Drosophila melanogaster: one gene and its partner. The protein of the gene in region 2 interacts with the protein of the main gene of each other region in a pairwise test. Each region holds a gene or a part of one and is shown on either strand. Other genes may lie near its edges. The genes, in order: Sam-S and Galphas.

Region 1 (10,542 bases), on a different chromosome or scaffold from region 2:
CTTTTTTACTTTTACGAAAATAGTTAAAGCAACATGTTTCAAGCTACAAGGAGGTGCAGTTAAAGTGAGTGAAACAAATCGTATCCTACAGCAACAAAATTTAATTGTCGATTACCAGAAAAGGGAAGTATTCGAAAATGATAATCCTCGAATTTCGCATGGGTCGTTAACGGTTGTTAGATTGACTAAGAGTGAGCTCCGTGAGGCAATGGTATCGAACGCGACCTATCGGTATTCGCGAAACTTTCGAGTATACTATCGATGTTTTTATTTATCGATAGTGTCGGCTTTAATTACACGTAAACTCAGATAGTTTGCCGGTTAAAAAGACAATAAATAAATAAAAATGAGAATCAAGTATTGTTGGCTCGCAACGCTAGTATTCATAGCCGCTGCTTCGGCGTCATATTCTCCCGAAAAGCCTGTTCCGCCGCCCTGCAGGGCATGTACCCAGCTTGTTAGCTCTTTCAGGGCAGGACTCGAAAGGACAAAACGCGGACACGCGGGCGGGGACACGGCATGGGAGGAGGAAAAGTTGCGTTCGTACAAGAACAGCGAGGTACGGCTAGTGGAGATCCAGGAGAAGCTATGTTCGGAAGGAGAAGTGATAAACAAGGATCACTGCCACAACCTGGCTAACGAGCACGAGGCGCTTCTCGAGGACTGGTTTATCCACAAACAAACAGAGAGTCCCGACCTGCAGTCATGGCTTTGCATCGATCAGCTAACAGTCTGCTGTCCGCTGAACACCTACGGACCAGACTGCCTGACCTGCACCGAGTGCAATGGAAATGGTAAGTAATGATAACCAAGTATTACAGGCCACAACTTACATAAGTGTGTCAACTTAAGATTGCCGTCTTCGTTAATTTTACCCACATGACAAATTTCAGGAAAATGCAAAGGAGACGGAACTAGAAAGGGTAACGGAAAGTGCAAATGTGATCCCGGCTATGCGGGTCCAAACTGCAACGAATGTGGACCGGAGCACTACGAATCATTCCGTGACGAAAAGAAATTGCTGTGTACACAGTGCCATGCGGCCTGTGGGGAAGGAGGCTGCACGGGAGGTGGTCCCAAGAGCTGCCGCAAGTGTAAGAAGGGCTGGAGCATGGACTCGGAGGCAGGATGTGTCGACATTAATGAGTGCTTGGAGCAACAGCGTCCAAACCCTTGCCGACCACAGCAGTTCTGCGTGAACAATGAGGGCTCCTTTAGTTGCCTGGAGTGTGATCGATCTTGCGATGGATGCGATGGTGATGGCCCTGACATGTGCAGGAAGTGTGCGGATGGCTATGAGTTGAAGGAAGGAAAGTGTCATGGTAAGTAAGACAGAAATTTAATAAATTTGCTTTTAAGCAACGCATTGTCCACTGTATGTATTGCGCCTCCGATCATTTAAGATATTTCTGCGGAGCAACGCAGCAACTACGTAAGCTTTACGCGAATGCTCACCTACTTCGGAATGTGCGTGGCCACCTGTGTCATCTTCCAGAGCTCTACTCATATTGCCTGGGGTTGCATTGTTGGGGCGGCAGTGGCAGGGTACATTGCTGTTTCCGAGTACTGGATCAACTCGGAGGCAGGAGGCGGCCACCAACCCGAAATAGATACAAAACAGTTGGAGGAACTAATAATGAAGTCTTTATAAGTCAAAAGACATGTCAACATTGCTTTCCTTTTATGATATACACGAGCGTTTTGAAAAGCATAATCTTTTAACATTCCCCCAAGACATCTAACGATTTTTGTACTTCGTTTGCAGTCCGCAGTGATTCAAACTCCACGGTGCTCGGTGAAGAGTCCACGCACGAAGAATTGTAAAAGTAACCAAAAACGCACACCTTTTGTAGCCAATTTTACTTTAATAGGTAATATTATCAATTGATATGTAATTATAAATTAGAATTTCAAAAAGCAGGGCATGACCATATTTTTTTACACGTACCACACTTAGATATTTATTTGGTTTCAAAAATGTATAAAATCACAAATACAGCATATATTCGTATGAATAAATATTTTTAACTAAAATTACTGACGTAGTGTGCTTTTGTGACGTCCAAATTTTCATTTTGAAGACCATCTGTCGTGTGCAATGTAATACTGCTTTAAGCGGATTAATAAAGGAGCTACAGTGATACGAATGAATCATTGCATTTGGATCTTACAAAATGAAAATTTGTAAACAAAAAATATACACAAGATAACAACCATCACCGCGCTATATAAATAAAAACTCTAAAAATATTAACTAGAGGAACTTAAGCATTACATACGATCGTTCCCTTTGGCTTCTAAAGTTATCCAACACAGTCCGAAACGGATACAGAGCTCCCCCCACAACAGCCATTTAATCCCTACGACCGTGTCAAATGAATTTGACTTGTGCTGGCCGCTAGTCCTATCTCTTCGTCCGATTCATCTGAATCCAATGGACTCACTCGAATGGCTTGGTACCACTTGTTAGTCAGGTCGGCCATCTGTGACTTGCACTCGTGCAATTCCTGACTATTGAACCGACGTGTAAAAAACGGAATAAAGTACTTGCGATCCATGCGCCCAAAACGATCGCGCGCTTGAGTAAAGGTGACGTCCTCTTCCTCGGTGAGTTCAGACAAGTGTTCAGAGTCGATTGCCTGGCCCCATTCGCGAGTTTTCGATAGGGAAATAGATTTTGAACGCTTCCTACCGCTGCCGTTGCGTCGACCTCCCTCCTCAGCGGCATTCCTTCCAGAGCCGCGTGCCCGCCGTTTTTTTCCTGGCTTAAGGTACTTTAGCAGAGGCATTGTGGAGCCCCCCAGCACTAGCGTGGTAAATAGCACAATGATTAATCTGAAATTTTAATTCTTCAATGACTGAGCATTATTTTACAATCCGGAATATGCTTACGTTGTTGTTATGATGACGTGTCGTTTCTCCTGGCTGTCAAGATTCAAGTGCAAAGATAGCGCGTAGGAAATCGCTCCGCGTAGGCCAGAAAACCACATAATGAACTGCATCTTGTTATTGATCTTATGCTCGCGAAATTTGTTGACCAAGAACGCGAGCGGAAAAATATTGCAGGCGCGGCCAATTAAGCAAAGCACAATGGCCCATATAACAAAAGATAGTTCAACTTGGTGTTTAAAAGAAAAGATTGCTAATCCCAGATAAGCAAACACGCAGGTCTCAGCAATGAAAGCTAGTGTCCTCATCGTCTGCTGCATGGTAATTTGGGTAACCTACGATTAAAAAAGTTTTAATAATATATAAAATAGGGATATCATATGACTTACAGTGGATAGGTTGAAATGCGTGTAGTGGGACATGACGATTCCGCAAAATAGTATAGCCATAATACCTATAGTTGAAAAAAATGTTTAGCTTTTAGAGTCATAGTCAACAACATTGATATACCGCTTAAGTGTATTCCCTCTGCCAAGACGTAAGGTGCGTAAGTAAACATTAGCATCATCGCGAACTCGAGGGATGGATGCTTTCGTAAATCGATGTGCTTCAGAAGAAGAGCCGAAATTAGTGCAAATATGACTCCAATGCCCGCCGAAGCAAAGAACATCGCGCAAAAGGTCTTCAACGCGCTGAACATGGCTTCTCCAGTGCTGGCCTCAGCATTGACGTTAGCGGATTGGGTTATGGATGCAGTCAGCACAATAGATATGGCGTCGTTGAGGATGCTTTCGCCGAATACCAACATGTTGAGTATGGGGTCTACGTCAAGAGCATGGAAAATTGCCACTGTTGCCACAGGATCAACAGCAGAGATGAGAGAACCGAAGGCAAAGGATTCCGAAAAGCTTAGGCTAAAATTTAGGATAAATTATTGAATGAAATTGACAATTTATTTTAAACTTGCCGAAATGCCACCTCCCCCAGGCCCAGCAGGTAAATCCCCGCCCCGATGACTAGTGCAGAAATTGTTGTACCGAATATGGCAAAGACCAGTATGGATCCGATGTTCTGAAAGAAGTTTCCCTTGTGCAGATTGTAACCGGACTCGAATATAATGGGCGGCAGGAGCACCAGAAAGAAGCCCATGGGCGAGAAGACCTCTTCACGTTTCCAACTGCCATTCTGCCCAGACATAACGTTCAGCGAAAGGCCAATAAAGGCGCCCAGAAAGACTACCACAATGCTTTCTGGCAGGTACTGGAACCCGGTCTGGAGCATAGAGTGGATAAGCAGGATGCCCAACATGATAACGCAGATGACGAAAAACAGTGAGAGTGAGGAGTTGTGCTCCTGCTCGACAGCATGGGAATCGATTAGAGGCGGATCTGTGACCAATGTGGATGCGTTTCCCCTTTTCGTGGTGCTTGCATTACCAGATGCAGAAATCGAGGGCGTGACATTTCCAAGCGGACTGTTGACGAAGACATCCGAAACGGTGTGGATAGAGCTACTATTATCTGTAGTGGTGGTGTTGCTTGATGTTTTGCTTTGGGGCACCTCCTGTCCACTGATGCTTTCCGGACCCGCGTGCACCAACAGTAAGAGTGCAGCTGCACTATAAGCTACCCAAACCCTCATTTTTGCCGACAAAACGTGACGTGGTCGCTATTAACGCTCGCATTTAACTTTTCACTATTTGTTCAATTTGTTTTTTCACAAACATCTGTTTATCGCCCTATCTGACGTATATCGGGGAGAGTTGCCGTATCATTTTGGCTTATTGGCGCGTGCCTTTCATATATTCAAAAGAAAATTGTGCACTTAATTGCGTGCAGTATATTTTACCATATAATGAATTTATTTAAATAATTGGCTTTTGCCCAGTCATTGTAGCTGATAGCTCTTGTGAAGTGTCTTGAAAATTGAGCATTTTAAGTTTAAATATTTTTGTCTACGTATTGAGAACGTTTCTTACGGCAAAAAGAAAATTATATATGTATTAGAAAAGTGAAATAATAAAAAACCTTGTTATTGGCAAAGTGATAAATTGTTTAGTTAAGGCTATTACAATAACTGACGATAAATCAGTAAAATAAATGCATTGCCACAATCTACAGTTCGCAAGCACCCACCATTTGTGCTCAAGAATAATGTGCCCTGCGCATCTGTTCGTTCAGGCACACGCGATCTTCTTAGGCCCCGTGGGGTCACACCTTATTTGAAAGATAATGGGGCTTGTTGTTTTCGGTTATATTCAGTGGGTATTAGAATTTTAAAAAATGTACATGCAAAAACTGATTACCAGGCTCCTTGATCTTGGCAGACCTTGTTTGTCTTCTTGGCTGTGGCATGACGTAAGCACTTTTTCAAAAGCACAAATTGTTCGAATAGTATGAGAACCCTAATTGACGACTTTCCTTGACAAGATAGTGTCGAACGATCCATCTCCAAAAGGGCAGTCACTCCATGTTAGGGAAAAGCTAGGGTTTCAACAGATACAGACATTCGTTTAAAAATTCGCTTCGAATTGCGCTTCGTGTAGCGATTGTCTATATCATCGAATATGTATATGTCAATTGCTGTACATAAGAGAAGCCGAGAGAGCAATGCTAAACAGATTTTAAAAATTAGGTATATAGGTGGCTGCCGTGGTAGCACATAGTTTTGTTCTGATAAGCTCTTATTTCTTGCCGACTCATCTTCTCAAATGCTGTCTACAAAAATTTATAAATATTATTCGTCTGTAAAAATCATCCGCAGTTGAACGCAGGTTGAGCAGGAAGCTAGTCGAGACTATAATCCATATCTTGTCTGATCCTTTGTTCAAAACCACAGTGAGTATAAAATAAAGGATCTGGATCTAGATTCACTACAGTTCACTCCGGAGCGGGGTGGCAACGCTGGGCGGCGGAACAGCTGCTTAAAACCCAAAAACGTGGAGATACTGAAGAAGTAAAATCATTTGAGAGTACCGAGAACGCTAGGAAAGTTTCCCTAAAGAGCGCCCAAATAAGTCTCAAAATAATAATCGAGTCAGCCGAAGAGAACCGCCTCCTCCGTTTGCGACGATAAGCAAAAGCCCGCTCTCTCGTTGGAGGTATAAATTCTGAATGGCATTAAAAAGTTGCGCTCTTTTTCTTCAGAACCGTCGCTAAGATAGGACGTGTGTTGGCTGCGCCGCTGATTTGGTTGCCGTCGCTGAACCAGTATAACTCAGAATCAGTGTGTATAATTTGTTGAACTAATAGCTAGAACGTCGAACACGCATTTTAAACAGCTAGCAGCACCGAGCCCTCACCTAGCGACTAGTTTAGCTTTGAACCCGCTCAACGTGCGTCTCATGTATGTAGCGACGATTGTGGCAAACGCGCAGCATAAAAACATAAAAGAAGGGCGATTATATAAAAAAAACTATAACGAAAAGTGTGCGAATACCGGAAAATCCCAACAGCCTCGAGGCGGCCTATAGCTTAGATTCGCGAATGCGAAAATAGATGTGTTTTGCAAGAGTTCGGAAAATCAATTTCGTTAAGCGTTTTTTAACAACCGCTAATGTGGCCTCTCTTTCTCTCTGTTCCCCCAGCTCCACCAACAATTTAGCCGACCGGAACTCGGGTTATAGCACTGCTCCCCCATTGCCCCTTCAAACTTCGAGTTACATATTACAAACTACCCATCAACATGCCGCAAAAGACAAACGGACATAGCGCCAACGGATGCAACGGCAGCAATGGCAACTCATATGACATGGAAGACGGAGCTACATTCCTGTTCACTTCCGAGTCCGTTGGCGAGGGTCATCCAGGTGAGTGCTTCATTGCATCTGCGGCGCCTCCTATTGCATCATACCGATAGTGTCAGTGTAAAAAAAGAAACAATCTCAAATGCCCCTTCGGGCGTGGTGAGAGATGTTGCCTGTCAGTTCTCATAACCTGACCAAACTGATTCTCTAGCGTCTGAGGCCCTTCTGTCTGAAGTCCCTTTCCCTGTATACCCAGTTCCACACCTCCACCGTCTACTCACTTCTGCTTACCGCCTGAACTCTAACAAAATGGCGACGAAATTATGTCCATACCTTTGTTGATTTCTACCCAATTTGCACGACTTGAACAGAGGCTGAGAACGGGAAGAAGAGCTAGTAAAACGTGCCTCTGTTGCATCGCCCGGTGACCAAGCCGGAAAGCTGGGACCACGGAGAACAGCTGGCTTCTCTTGAAATCCCCGCACAACAGCGGGCTAAACCTTGTGCTTGGATGGGCAGACGCAATTAATAGACTGGTTCTTTATCGTTTGCGGCTCTCACATATGTATGTATGTGTGTACAGAGAGACTACGTCATGCGCACCATGTGCTTGTGGCTCATGGGAGATGCGAAATTCAAGTATTCTCTACGTTGTTCTACGTTGTCCACGCACTTGTTCATTTGATCGCAGATGGCGATCAAAACAACGGCCAACACAAACATACCTTACATTTTTCTAGACCGCTGTCAAAGCTTATTTTTTTCACCGAAATTGCCAACCACGTGTTTTGCTCGAGCTCGATCTTTTCGCCCCTCCCAGAGTTTGTTTATATCAGCAGTGGCGACCAGTATAGTAGTGTGTTTGACAACAGCTGTTGATAAGCCGAGCGACCTTTTATACTACGCATTGATTACTTTTACTATTCTATACTATTTTATTTTATAATGCTAATTAAGTCGGCTTGGCAAGCTAGCCCTAGACAATCTAGCCCTATACAATCGTGATGATAAGCGCCGAGTGCCATTCAGAAGAATACACCCCAAATGGTTGACATTAATATCGCCTGTCTTTTTGTAATAAATGAGTGACGGACTTGTTAGAATAGATAATTAGACTAGCCGGAAATTGGAAACCCTGAAACCCATTTCAGAGTAGCTACTTTAAACCCTTGACCTAACTAGTTTCCTCGCAATCATTATCCCAGCCGAAATCGATACCATGCGCCATTTCTATGAGTCAACAGTTTTGGTAATTTATGTTGCTATTGCTGACGCATGTTCGAGTTCAATAACGCCTTTACTACGAAAAGTAGCCGAATGTTGACGGACTCCAATTACGCGCCAAGTTTTGAGGCAAGCGCGAGCAACCCGACTGGTATCAGATGAATCCGACTCCCAGGATTTCATGGACGATTCGGCTTCAAATGTCATCATTTTGTGTTTGGACAACACTACGGTCGCCTTATGCTCTTGTTCTGGGAATTGAATTTCGCTGTCAATAGCAGACAGATTAAATGAAACCGCATGGCCCAGCAAATTTTGATCCGTCGCACTGAATAACATTTTGGCCCGTTCCTCCTTCCACTCCCCGACAAAAATGCTTTCCCCTCCTTCTTCGCCCACCTCTGGCTTACCTCTTGCTTACCTTATTTTTTTTAGACAAAATGTGCGACCAAATCAGCGACGCTATCTTGGATGCCCATCTGAAGCAGGATCCAAACGCGAAGGTGGCGTGTGGTAAGTGTTATGAAACCTGGAGTACATGACTGCTCTGACCCAAAATCAGATTTATATTAAATTCGGCCAATGAAGGTGCGCTGACCAACAATAAATAATCTCATTCATAGAATTAATCAAGAATCACCGTGAGTGCCATTCTTTTTGAAGTTGACTTATTCGATAGCGCCAACATAAAAAAACAAGGTCAAACCACCGGCAAATCTGTTTTTGGATTACCTGAAAAAGTTGCCGAAATTTCTTTTAACACATTCCATAATATTTAATACAGAAACCGTCGCCAAGACGGGCATGATTCTGCTGTGCGGCGAGATCACGTCTAAGGCTGTGGTCGACTACCAGAAGGTTGTTCGTGAGACAGTGCAGCACATTGGTTATGATGACTCCTCCAAGGGTAAGTGTCTATTAGGTACATAAACAATTTGTGGGCGGGTATTACAATTCGTTCCCTACGTCGGTCCTACGAACAATACTGTCAACTCAATATTAAATAACAATAAAATCAAATAAAAATCAAAAAGGTTTCGATTGGAAGACACTTAACCTGCTTGTAGCCATCGAGCAACAGTCGCCCAACATTGCCAACGGCGTTCATATCAACCGCGAAGAAGAAGACGTCGGCGCTGGTGACCAGGTACAGCAAAGCTTTCCGTTCTTCTACTACCGCCTAGCACTAAGTGATGCGGAGTGTGTGCGTTCGTTCGTTTCGTTTCATTTGTTAAGTGTTTCCCTTAATTCGTATCTTTCCCACATTAACTTGGCTTGCTCACAGGCCAACAAGAGTTTCGCCTTTGTCATTAAAAGCTGATGAGCAATAGGAATACTATTACTATAACTATTTTTTCTTAAGCCCCAAAAAAAATCAAATTGACTTGTTTCCCACAGCTACGAACCATTTGGTCGAAGACAACTTAACAATTTCACCTCAAGCAAATATATAACGACTGAAATACATAACATATCACACATTTGGATTACACTGCGGGCGTTCTCTAACCACATAAATTGCATTCAACCAAATCCATTGAAAGATTTATGTAATCATTAAAATTCCGCTAGTTACCGTTTTATGGAAGCAAGAGAAGTCTTGCATGCGGCTTGTCTGACCTATGGAAGAAGGCTTAAAGTTTTCCCAGACTTTGGTATATAGAAAAAACACCAAGAGAGTGCTTATGAAGATTGTAGAAAATACATTTTTTTGTAAACCGTTTTTATATATATAATTATAATCTAAAATAATAGGGTGTTTAAAATCATATTATGAACATTACTTACAGACATTTTCCTGTGTATGTGCACCATTGCTGCGCTTCTCTCTTTTATCTTTCTTTTCGTTTCATATTAAACCAATCTCGATACAATCCAATACCAAACTTTAAACGATATTGTGCACTTCGCAATCGCGCTTCGAAATTCACAAAAGGTTTCGATTTCAAAACGTGCAATGTGCTGTTGGCATTGGACCAACAATCGCCTGAGATCGCTGCGGGAGTGCATGTCAACCGTGCCGAGGAAGAGATCGGTGCCGGAGATCAGGTGTGATTTAGAAGCAGTAAAGAAGTAGCAGTCTCGGCAGGCCGGGATCGAAGGCCCTTTCCGAAGAGCAACGCATCTTTTTAATTTTTATTGATAGCAATTTAGTTGCGACTAAAATATTCATGGTGGTAGGGCGTTTATAAGCTCTTTGGAAGGGGTGTTGTCGCCACTTCTATAATTTCTGTTTATCGTTTCCTTTATATATTTTCGTAACTAATTGAAGTAGTGTATGACGACTTTATTGCTATTTAATTTTAAATTCATCTGTTTGCCACTATATCATAATAGCGCTGCAATATTGCTCCAACCGACCTACCAACCATATGATCGTCTTTTTTGTTAATTGAAGCTGCCAAATCCATATCATTTAACTTTTGACTTTTCAGTCGATACCATAATTAGAATAGCAGACACAAAACTAAGGCACACTACTGCATATATATACATCACTAACATAATTTTGTAAACAACTTTTTGACTCCTAAGTAGCAACAATTAATTCATACCCGAATCTATCACCCATGCTTGATTTACCCTTTCCTAACCCAAATGTGTTTTATTTATCTAACGCTACTGATTCTTTTTGGTTTTGGTTACTTTTAAGTGAATAATTAATGATTAATTAATTAGTGATA
Region 2 (12,237 bases):
CTCCCAAGTGCACCAGGCTAACGGTCAACGGCTGGAATCATGAATCTATATGTGCTCCTGGCGGTGGTATCGGTGTTCCTGAACTTCATTCACGCAGCGCCCGGTGTGGTACGTTTTTGAAGTGCTTTCGAGAATATCCAGTGGAAAGCTACGGGCTTCTGTAAACGGATTACAATTACTATAGCTAACTATGTTTTAGGATATTTCCAACGACGAACTGCTGGATGGAAAATATCTTTGTGAAGGTAACAACGAGCCATTGAACACATACTGAGAACCAACTTGTACATATATGTACATATATATACTCGAACTTTTTAATTATCATAACCAACAGCTTAGCTTTTGTACAAAGCCATTAAGTCCTAATTTCTTATTATTTCGATTTCGATTTCGATCAGATCTGCCAGCGTTAAGAGAATTGTGTAACGGAAACAGCGTGAGTTTACGACAAACCGGACTTCCCAACGACGACCTTTCCACATCGCCGTTGTTTAACGAGTTTTACAAACTCTTCCAACGAAATGTAAATATATTTCTGTCCAAAAACAAGAGCCCCGAGTCCTTGCAAGAGCGCTTCTCGAGAACGGTTTCGAAGCGCGGCTTGGACAGCATTGGTGGCGGTCATTTGATAAAGCGGACGCAGAGTAGACAGTTCCTAAGCGACTAGAAACCGCCACATTCCCAACTTCCGCTTCCGCTTCCGCACCACTCCATTGACTTTGACAATATCGAGGACCGAAATGAAACTGAAATGTAAATAAGCAGCCTGGTCTTTATTTTATATGTGCATATAAAATGATGTAGCTCCTAATTGTTAATAAATTATTGCATTTGTAAAGAGTTTTACTTTCGCCCTCCAGAGGAGAGTCATTCATGTAAATTCCAAAAATCTAGACTTACACTAATCCCTTACCACCGCTAACACATGCTGCCCCAAAAAGCTGGCTCGAAGAAGTACGATGGACCGTTTATAGTGAGGTGAGTGATATGGTGGCACGTGAATATGCCCATCGTGCGACAGGTTTATATGTAGTACTATCAGATATCTGAGACTCGGCTGCTGCTATCAGGTCTTATCCGGATGTTATCGAAATAGGCTCTATATATAATGTATGTAAATATGCAGATAACAGATCCGAATAATACGTGGCTATACCGGCAGCCAAAGTGCCTGCTTGCCCGCCTATTTGCCATTACTCACTGAACTCACTAATCCCCTTCCCAATCACTGAAACATATGCCCTGATCCCCAGATTGATTTCGGCTGCCAATGGACAAACGGTCGTCTGCTACGAGTGCAGCCAGTCGGAGTTCAAGACGAAGTACTCGGTGAAGCAGTGCGCGGCCGGCAAGATCGGGTCTGGCCATCACCGGGACCTGGTGCCCTACCTGGTGAGGATGGACCCCCTGTACAAGGACACCTGGAGCAGTAAGCTCAAGCGGAACTTCGACGAGATCGACAAGGCCTCCGCCAGCTTCAGCATCCTCAACCAGCTCGTCTAGTGATACCTTCGACAGCGCGTGAATGTAAATGCCCATGGATATGGATACGGACTCTGATAGCGGAAATACTCTAAAATGCTTCATGTCAAGGGACTATAGAAAATAAAGCAGGTGCATCCTGGTAGAATAGCCAAAATAATCGAAACAAGCGTGTCTGTTATTAACATGTTTATTTATTATTCTTTAATGTTGAGTTTTGTGAAAGGTCATACCAGATCTAAATGCAGCGAATTTTTTGTTTTAATCAAGGGACTATTTAAATACAAATTACATTTGATAATTATATTTAAAACAGTAAGTCATTAATATTTTTATTTACTTGCATTACGGCGATGGGGATAACCTATAACAATTCATATTGACGAAGGTGCATCCTTTGAATAATGTCTCTGCAATCATTAAACACACGTTTAATGTTTTCTGTGTCAACGGCGCATGTGAAATGTGGATAGCAGTAGTGTTTTCCGTCTCCGCTAGCGGTAGATATACGCTATATAAGAAAGAGATCCCATTAAGGATTAAGGCTAGTTAGATAGGTGGAGGAAGAAACGGAGATGTGATATAACCCACCAGAAACTCGTCTCGTATGAAATATTTTGCTCGTATTACTTCTGGGTCATCATTGGATTCCATTATTGCGTCACCTGTGTCGACAGCACATTTGAAATTAGACAAAATACATTATCCATTAAATTTCTTAAGTTAACTTGGGCACGGTTTGCAAATTTGAAAAGGAATTGCGAATTTCTTGGCCAGATCTGAGTCGGTTGATCTGATGACTCCCTCGCCCTCAATTGGCCTCTACTATGGGTTATACTATTTTACTTACTTGGCGTTTGGTATTTGTTAAACTCGGAGAAATATTCCGACAATTTACTTTTTCCAGCCTTAATTTTCTCTGCTAACAAATCTTGCTTATTTAAAAATAGTATAATAGAAATCGTGCGAAGCCATCTGAAAGAACAACTCGTTAGTTTCCATTTGTCGAGATGGCGCCAAATTGCTCGGTTCACCTGTTGTTCCAAATACTCTTGAACAAATCCAAAGATTCTCGAAGTCGGTTCTGGGTGGGATCTTCCCGCAAAACCATGTTATAACTTGAGCACGCAGTTACGAATATGATAGCAGTTACATCATTGAAACACTGAATCCATTTCCTACGCTCGTCCCGCTGGCCACCGACATCGAACATGCTGCACGCGAATGCACATCATTAGAATGGAATAGAAACTAAAATATTGCGATATCACTTGGGATTACACTTACTGAAAGTTTACTTTGTCCACTTGAAATCTTGTTTCAAATATTCCAGAAGTCAAAACACGGCACCGAAGAATATCCTGCTCATTAGGGGTGTAGTTTGGATTCTTGATTGTGCTCACTCGGTCCAGGAAGCTTCAAAGCAGAATATCAAGTGTAGAAGTAAGTACAAATTCGGTTTCAGTGCCTTAATCAAGCTTAGATACAAGTACAAATGCGGATTAGCTGGCATAAACTACGGAAAATTGGGACTTGGTGTTTAGCAACTTGTTTCTTCGGGGAATTAAACAAAAAGCCTTCTCAACTTGGAAAAGTATGATCGTTACGATACTTCTATGTGCATGGCGTAGTTGGTACTACTTCGACTACTAGCTCCTTTTAAGAATTGGACTCATTCTAAAACCCATATATTGTAGTAATTATTGTACAGACAGACAGATATGGAATGCGAAAGTAGGTTTAGGTTGTGGTTCTACTTTCAGATAGTCATACTGCAGCAAAGCGACGATATTTAAAGTTTACTTCATCAAGCGGATTACTTGTTAGAATTAAAAGTTGCATACTTTCGATCCAACGCATTGAATTTCTGCACTTCCAAGTGAAACACATAGTTAAGCTTTCAGAACAATTGGCATGCACTCCGAGATGAATTAAATTAAACAATTAAATCTGTTTGTAGTGCTACAAGAACTATTCGTTTGGCTCAACACATCGATGGCAGGATGTTAAATGTGGGTGGGCATTACTTACTATTTCGCACAATCGATTAATTGATACTCATTCGACCTCTCATAGGTTTGAAGAACGCCCTTGTCTTTCCATAGTTCTTCTGTATGTTCATAAAATTCAGGAGGATAATTAAAGTCCGGACCTGCGGGGCAGATAATGGTTGATAACAACTTAAGTTGGGGCGGCAGAGGCTCTTACTAGATGCATAATCCTGAATGTACTCCACTCTGGGTTCATTTTCCTTCTTTTCTAAAGCTACAGGTGGATTAAGTGTGCTCATGGCTCCTGTAATAGTCTGTAAGGGATTGGCAAGGAGTTAAGCAAGTGTTTGGGCTTAGATGGCCGGCGGGATGGAACTCACCAAGATAGCGTCTCGAATATTCTTTTTAATATCATCAATTTTCTGTTTCTTTTCCGAGTCAGAAAATCCGTCGACATGCAATATTCGCATTTGCTTGACTATGGTTGATTTGCCGGACTCGCCCGCCCCCAGGAGGAGCAGCCTGTGTGTGGCCCTGTAGAGCTGTTTGTCCTTCTGCAACTGTCTAGATATTGCATCGCTCCGGCGCTTCTGGCTCTTCGAGTCCTCCGAGTTCACGTCCGACTGCTTGGAGGTGGGCGACCCAAAGCAACCCATCGCAGCCCACGGGGTCCACCAACACGTCGCTCGGTTTTCCTGGTTCGCGTCGGGCGACTCGGCACCCCTTGTGCTTTCTCCGTTCTGCTCCAGTATAGCTGAGTGCTTGGGTTCCTCGGATCAAACCACAATCCCTTGTGTGCTCGTCGGTCTCCGGTCTGCGATCTCCGATCTCCGATCTCAGTGGCACCACCGTTGGCGTTGGCTCAGCGCTTCAGTGGATCTCTGCAGCAGGCTGCATTCGTACAATGGTATAGTAGATGGAAAAATGAGTAACAGAACTTTCAGAACTAACGATCCTCGAGCTTTCTATTCCCACTAACTGAGATTCTCCAGCAGAAACCCATTTCGATTGCATAGAATCCCGAATCCACTTCAGTGCCCCCATATCATCCGCGTACGCGCGAGTGTAGCGACCAAAATGGGTGCCTACTAAGCCAAGGCGACGCCGCTGACATTGCCGCCCACGAAAGTCCCGTGAGTCACTGGGTTTCGGGTCCCAAAAGCGCTCGCATAGCATCGGAATCGGAATGAAAATCAAAATCAAAAATTACTCCACGCAACGCGCGTTCATTCGCGTTGGACATTCGCGTCGGACGATTGGAATTCATCACATTCATATTCACATCCATATTCACAGCCATATTCACATTCTCATTCACATCGACATCCACAACATCGGCGTAGTGTAACAGGTGAAGAAGGGGGCGGAGAGGGTGGCACTCTCGCGCATACTGGGCAGCAGGTACGCATGTATATAGAGATACCAACCCAACATAATTCCATCTGCAGTTGAGGCTCGAATGGAATGGATGGGTCCGATACGCGGATTCGGATTCGATTAGCTCGTATGTGGGTTTACGGATGAGTGTAGGCACGCGAATATTAAGAGTATTTAATCTAGCAATTATTGCCGACCGACGGGAGTCGCAGGAAGATGAACGTACTATACCCTACACATATACCTATATAGGCGGAGGGGGTGGTGGCAGATATGCCAGATATGGCAGATATGCAGATTTTAATGTAAATATATGTACATAAATTCATCGGCATCGGAATCGGGATCTAAGCGGGCACGGACACGGACACGGGCACATATATATCTCACAGATATGAGTACACACCGTTGTGTATCTACTCGTATATACGTGCGTATGTATTTAGATATATACACAAGTTCTCGGTTCGCATGTGTGAATGGATGGATGTACATAAATAAATGTATGTACATATATCAATACGTAGTGCTCCGTGCCTCCGAATCCGAAATATTTGCCATTTCTTTGACACTTGGTTAGAAAAACTATATTATACCTATACCATCGCGAATCGGATCGAATCGAATCGAATGGAATGGAATCGCATCGCAACGCATCTGCTTGGATTGGTTTGGATTCGAATGGATTGAATTCGATGGATGGGATTGTATTTTGGATATTCATGCGCGAACGATTTTTCACTGATTTCAGGTTTAAGGACATGGGACGCAGGTCGCAGGTCGCAGGACGCAGGACGTCCGAAAATCGGGAGGTCGGTCGAGATCGAGGGGCTGCAGGGGCGAATCACATCTCTGCGCGATGGCAATTACGTGTGCGAACGCGACTATTCCCTGCGTTCGACAATGGTTATTGTTTACCGTGAAATTACCGAACATTTTTATTCATGGGAGCAACTTCGGGCCAAGACTATAGGTGCACGACTCGGTTGGGAGCGACTTTTGGGGTCTGAAAAACAGGCAATTCTATCGCACCCGACGCGCCAGCCACTGTTTTCCGGATTCCCAATGTTCTTAGTCTCTGTGTGCTCGCAATTCATCAATTTGTAGCTTAAAAATTACTTTTAATACCAGTACTAACTCACTTTTTATATATTTTTTATTTTATGTATCAACCTAGGGATGCAACGAAGTAGATACTTTTATCGATAGTCAGTCTGCCTATCGGATAGTGCGGGCGGTGATGTAGATAGATATGTTACTGGGCCAAAAACATCTATGCCAAATGACGATGTGCTATTTTAGCGAATATTAATAATAAAATAAAGTATCCCGAGCTATGTAGAATAGCGAAATCCAGAAACACCCGTCCGATACTTTACATAAGCAGCCGTCTCTACAGGCTTACATAGATATTCTACACGGGCGTGTAGAAAACATGTTTGAAGTTGTTATGATAAGGTATCAAAAAAAAAGTATCTTTATCTGTGATATAATTTGCAAATTTTATTTATTTTGTAAACTTTTAGTATTTATTATTCGTATCCATATCTGCAACGAGTAATCATGCTATTTGCATGCCAAACCTATTCACCCATTTAATAATTTCCATAACTCCCAACTGAATCTTGTCATCTCTTTTAATTGTAGTGTTTATTAAAGTATAAAATCATTGTCTTTTTCAAAAACGAATGTATTCATCCTCCACCTGCTAGCGGACCCAGAGGAACATCTACTTAAGATAGGTCTTAATCAAATTCTCCAGCTTAACAGTATCCACGGCGAACTTCCTGATGCCCTCGGAAAGTTTGTCGGTGGCCATGGCGTCCTCGTTGAGCAGCCAGCGGAACCGGCTCTCATCGACGGTGATCTTCTCGATGTCCTGCAGCTTGGCGTTGCTTACGGACAGGTAGGTGACCACCGACTCGGTCTCGTTCTCCAGCTCCTTAAGCAGCGCTGGGCTGATGGTAAGCAGATCGCAGCCAGCCAGGGCCTTGATTTCGCCCACGTTACGGAAGGAGGCGCCCATGACCAGGGTCTTGTAGCCGAACTTCTTGTAGTAGTTGTAGATGTTCGTCACGGAGATCACGCCCGGGTCCTTGAGCGCCTCGAACTTCTTGGTATCCGTGTTGGCCACGTACCAGTCCAGGATGCGGCCCACGAACGGGGAGATGAGGGTCACGCCGGCCTCGGCGCAAGCCACGGCCTGTGCGAACGAGAAAAGGAGCGTCAGGTTGCAGTGCACACCGTGCTCGTTCTCCAGGATCTCGGCCGCCTTGATGCCCTCCCAGGTGGACGCCAGCTTGATCAGAATTCGCTCCTTGTCGACGCCCAGGGATTTGTACAGGGCGATCAGCTTCAGGGCCTTCTCCACGCTCTTCTTGGTGTCGAAGGACAAGCGGGCATCGATCTCGGTGGAAACGCGACCGGGCACAACCTTCAGGATTTCCGTTCCGAACAGCACGCACAGGTAGTCCATGGCCTCGGCCACCTGCTCACTCACGGAGCTGCAAACGATGGTATTCTATGTAGCTTTGTGTGGCAAACACCCAAGTGAACTGCTTACCCCTTCTTGCCCTTGGCGTATTCCACCGCCTTTTGGACCAGCGGCTGGTACCGCTCCATGGACGAAGCGGACAAGATGAGGGAGGGATTAGTGGTGGCATCCGTGGGCTTATAGATGTTGATGGCTGGAAGCAATGTGTAAAGTATTTGCATAAGTGCGGGGCCAAATTACATTGCGAATTTTAGAAAGACCTCGAAACCTGTTGAGCGACTTTCATTTTTCAATCGCCCGACCGAAAATATCTTTGAACTTTTCAAATGTCTGAGCAGGTTTGGCACTCTGCTCCGAAACCTTATCTCTGGTGGCATTCTATAGTACACTTTACTATAGCGGTCACATTTCTAACACACGTAAGCACCAAAGGTCAAACTAAAGTCAGCTCGGATTTGCTTTTCACTTTTATTTGATCTTCACTGCGGCAGACACGACGGATCCGATGGCCCGTCGTTAATGTTTATCTTTTGGATAAATCCATGTATCCTATGTATCTTTGGACTCGGATTCTATGTATGCTCTATATATGTATGGATGTTCGAGCTCAGACTCGCATTTCGCTTTAGTTGCATTTCTGGATTCCCACTTTTGAGGCAAACTTACGCTAGCTTTGAAATCGGACTCATCTTGTTAAGAAAAATACCTTGCGTGCGTACTTACCTTCAAAGTCGCCGGTGTCAGCCACAATTGTGGTGATTTTCTTGAGTTCCTGTAATACCGACATCTTTTGCTTTTTTAACGTGCGATCACTTCCCATTGCCCAACTTCAATGCAATAAGACCGCCACTGGAGCGGCAATTTATACCGCCCGGCTCTGGAAAAATACTGAACAGCCCCAACTTGGGTTTAGGAATCGATATAAGGGGCCATCAGGGGGATTCCTGACAATTAAGCAGACTTAAACTAGCTCCCTAACATTAATCTTTAACTGTGATGATAAGGTATTCAAGCTAATCTTAGGTGAATAGCTTGTTAAATATAAATAACCATCTACTTGTAATTGGACGAATAAATAAGTGCATACTTTCGTTCTTGTACAGAAAGCGCTGAACATTTTGGGTCGGAAGAAAATTTTCGTAAACTAACGATAATTTTAAAAGTATGCATTTTTTTTAGATGATTTTTCTAGTGCAATGATATTGATTTTACTTGGACTAGGCTGGTCACCTACTGAGATTTCAGTTCGCCCAGTACTTCAAATCGGAAAATCACCATATTTGACCGCTTCAAAAGTCATATCTTAGACAATTTTTTGATATTTATATGCCAGAAATCAATTCATCGTTGGTCACCTACTGGGGTTTCATAGCAAATTTATGTGATTTCCTAAAAAAACATGGCTTAGATTATAAATTTCAAATGAATTAGCTTTACCGGCTTTAAATTCACCACACGCCATCTCTAGGAGCTATCGATATGTCTGTGTATCGGATTCCTTCACCAATCCAGATGTTTGTTGATCCACACGTGTGTGCGAAAGATACTCGGTAACAAACAGTTTAAAATGAAACAAAAACACTCGAAGAACAGGGCGAAGCCCTACAAGAAACCAACGCCCGCCCGGCGAAATGAGAGATTCTCGAAGAACTACAGTTTCATCCAGAGGAGCAAGCAAATGGAGGAGTCCCACCGCAGGGAACGAATGCCCACAGCACCGAAACAGGAATATGAGCCCGTGGCGGAGCTGTTGCCGGAGATCCAGGATGATGTGGACGAGACTGAGTTCTATAAAAAGCTCATAACTGGTGTTAATAACATACCCACAAGTAGCCCTTGCAATGGACAAAAATGTGCCCATGACTAACTAAGAATATCGTTTCCAGGTGACATCCTACGCTCAAAAGCAGAGAAGGAAGAGGATCACGTTATTCCCGTGCCCAGGAAGATCAAACCCAAAAAGGAAAAGCGTTCCGAGCAGTTAGGTGTCGACTTGGAAATATACAATTCGTTTTCGAAACGCTTCGATTTTGAGCTATCTACGGATAATATCAACGATTTGATTGCGAGAAAGGATGTTAAAACAATCAAGAGGAACTGGTCCGCTCTGGGGAATGTAAGGTTCGATATACCACGACTGACTGAGGACTTCAAGGAGCCCGACTGCAGCGAGCCCAAGGACATTGCAAGCACGGAAGATCTGCAAAAGTTGGAGGTGAAGGCGTCCATTTGTGCAAACGCCAAACTGCCACTCACTGCCCTGCAGTCCCAGCTCTTCTACATCGCCAATAACTACCAAGATATATACTATCCCCATCGAACTCATGGCAATGCCGAGGATATTCGCTATGTATACTGCCTGCACGCCCTGAACCACATGCTGAAAGTCAGATCACTGATATTGCGCAACAACGAAAAGGTTTCGGCTTTGGCCAAGTCACAAAAAATGTCGCCCAACGAAATCTCTATACCAGAGAGCTTCAGGGACCAAGGGCTTAAGCGGATGAAGGTCGTTTTTGTAGTGCCCTTCAGGGAATCGGCTCTAAGGATTGTAAATATACTCGGAGATCTACTCTTTGGCAGTCAAGATGGTAAGTCACCCGTTGATAGCAAAGAACCTGTATTACCATTAAATGTCCTTCACAGATCAGGCCAGGAAAACCTCGATCGCGAACTATGAACGCTTCCTGGGAGATTACTCCGGGAATACGATTTACTTCCCCAAAACCAACCCAAAGCCAATGGATTATGAGCAAACATTCAGTGGCAACACGGATGACAACTTCAAACTAGGTATTCGTTTTACAAAGAAAACCATGTCCCTATTCTCCGATATGAACGCATCGGACATGTTGATCGCGTCTCCCTTGGGACTGAGAATGCTGGTTACGGACAAGGAGAGCGATTTTGACTTTTTGAACTCCATTGAACTGCTGATAATCGACCAAGCCGAATTGTTCCTGGCGCAGAACTGGGAGAACCTGCTGCACTCCCTGGACCACCTGCACCTGCAGCCGCAGAAGCTGCCCGATACGAATTGCCAGAGGGTACGAACGTGGTGCCTGAGTGGAGCGTCAAGTTTCTACCGCCAAACCCTGTTCTTCTCGTCCCACGAGCTGCCCGAGTTCCGGGCAGTGTTCAACAGCAAGTGCAACAACTACCAGGGAAAGGTGCGAGACTCGAACCTCGTCGAGCACGGAGACATCCGGAACGTTCTGACTCCAATACATCAGGTTTTCCGCCTAATCAATTGCTCCAGTGTGGAGACGACCTTCGACGATCGGTTCCAGTACTTCGTCAAGAATATTATGCCCCAATTCAGTAAGCCCGGTTTCTCGCACTGTATGCTATACGTGCCCAGCTACTTTGACTACGTACGGATACGCAACCATTTCAAGACCGAAATGGTCAGTTTTGTGCAGATAAATGAGTACACCAAGAAAGAAAAGATTTCCCGGGCGAGAGATATATTCTTCCACAGCGGGGCATCTGTTCTGTTGTACTCGGAAAGAGCGCACTTCTTCCGGCGCACGCGGATTAAGGGCATCCGGAACTTGATCATGTACCAGCCGCCCAACTTTCCGCACTTCTATTCCGAGATCATCAATCTGATGCTGAAGACAAATCAAAATCCGCGCGATGGATTTGGGGACGAAATGTCCGTCAGTATCCTGTACACAAAGTACGATCTGCTAAGCTTGAGTAACATTGTGGGCAGTGAGAATGCTGCGAAATTGACTTCTGGTCAAAAGGATTCCTACCTTTTCTCCACCAAAACGTAAATGCTTACACGAGAGCTGACTTTGAAATATGTACATATTTAGTTGTCAATTAGAATATACTAAATGTTAACGCAAGTAAATAGTAATGTATGTGATAACTTTCAGTTGTGGCTCTATTTTTGGACCTAAATACTTTCGTGACGTAGAGATTTTAGGAGGAACTGGCTAGGTGATTGATCTGATGTTAAGGGTGGCGATGTCTTCTCTTTGTTATTACGCAATTTGAAATTATGAAAAAATGAATAATTGGCAAATGGTTGTGTAATAAGAGGCAGCATAAGTAGTGTTTTGCCGATTGATGAAATGATTCAAAATGCATTTGAATTCAATATATTTTGCCTGTTTTTACTTTAATATCCCTTTTTTATAAAGGAAGATTGGCCAGAGCATTATGCAATAAAAGTTATCATTTATAAGGCAATTAAGTGTTAAAAAACATTATTTTGCAGTTTGTATTTGTTTTTAAATGATCACTTCGCTTGATTGCTTGAGATTGCTGGAATCTGGAACCATTACCATATACCGAGTTCCTAAATAGACAATATCCAGCGGTTGACAACCGCATCAAACCCAGATTTGCCAGTCCCAAAATAAATCAAAATTCCTGGCTGCATTGTCATTTATCAACATTTTTAAATATACACATAGGTAGCTTATAAAAGTTCTGGCCTAGACATATAGAGGTAAAATAGTAGCCAAATGCATATTTATGGGGGTCTCTGTGAAAAGTCGTAATAGCTGCTGCACAAGGCGGATGGCTGATGGCGGATATCATACGGCAGAAACGTGTGCGGAGAGCGCTCTTGCCAATATCTGAGAGTCCGAGTCCGTAGGGGCATTACAAGCCTATAAATAAAAATAGTCGACGGCTGCCAGTCTCTGCTGAAATTGGGGAAAAAGGCAGAAAAGCCAAACGAAGAACTAGGGGTTCGCAGGCCGACTGGTGGATGCTCTTTCAGCTGTTAATGGATCGAGATCAACTAGATTGAGGAAATGAGTATTTGGGCTGGGATTTGGGATCTGTTGTATTTGCCAAGGACAAGTAAAATATTCAAAGGGCAGCAGCTATGGATAACTATGATGGATTCTAGCTCGGCGAAAGTGGAAT

Evidence for each region.
Region 1: the proteins of Galphas (region 2) and Sam-S interact in a two-hybrid assay, tested with the Drosophila melanogaster proteins (one large-scale study listed by BioGRID).

Annotation. Positions count from the first base shown.
Region 1 is NT_033779.5:102,113-112,654, forward strand, and holds the start of Sam-S (S-adenosylmethionine synthetase), read left to right. Parts: upstream 1-4,790; 5' UTR 4,791-4,888; intron 4,889-5,648; exon of another isoform or gene 5,649-5,652; 5' UTR 5,653-5,726; exon of another isoform or gene 5,727-6,234; intron 6,235-6,475; 5' UTR 6,476-6,573; coding exon 6,574-6,697; intron 6,698-7,481; exon of another isoform or gene 7,482-7,638; coding exon of another isoform or gene 7,639-7,681; intron 7,682-8,293; coding exon 8,294-8,371; intron 8,372-8,642; coding exon 8,643-8,765; coding exon of another isoform or gene 8,766-8,788; exon of another isoform or gene 8,789-8,892; coding exon of another isoform or gene 8,893-9,005; exon of another isoform or gene 9,006-9,225; intron 9,226-9,794; coding exon 9,795-9,907; intron 9,908-10,542. Other genes in the region: Creld (cysteine rich with EGF like domains), read left to right, coding at 347-794, 894-1,322, 1,404-1,651; Nhe1 (Na[+]/H[+] hydrogen exchanger 1), read right to left, coding at 2,361-2,835, 2,893-3,224, 3,279-3,343, 3,400-3,803, 3,857-4,530. UniProt on the Drosophila melanogaster protein: Catalyzes the formation of S-adenosylmethionine from methionine and ATP. The reaction comprises two steps that are both catalyzed by the same enzyme: formation of S-adenosylmethionine (AdoMet) and triphosphate, and subsequent hydrolysis of the triphosphate.
Region 2 is NT_033778.4:23,936,360-23,948,596, reverse strand, and holds Galphas (G protein alpha subunit s), read right to left. Parts: upstream 6,060-12,237; 5' UTR 5,996-6,059; exon of another isoform or gene 5,783-5,995; intron 4,621-5,782; exon of another isoform or gene 4,368-4,620; 5' UTR 4,133-4,367; coding exon 3,857-4,132; intron 3,791-3,856; coding exon 3,694-3,790; intron 3,638-3,693; coding exon 3,517-3,637; intron 2,902-3,516; coding exon 2,773-2,901; intron 2,700-2,772; coding exon 2,520-2,699; intron 2,461-2,519; coding exon 2,336-2,460; intron 2,160-2,335; coding exon of another isoform or gene 2,151-2,159; coding exon 2,077-2,150; intron 1,997-2,076; coding exon 1,850-1,996; 3' UTR 1,661-1,849; downstream 1-1,660. Other genes in the region: orcokinin, read left to right, coding at 40-108, 200-245, 945-981, 1,257-1,506; Taldo (transaldolase), read right to left, coding at 6,583-7,357, 7,417-7,540, 8,071-8,167; CG3735 (uncharacterized protein), read left to right, coding at 8,915-9,176, 9,234-9,938, 9,994-11,129.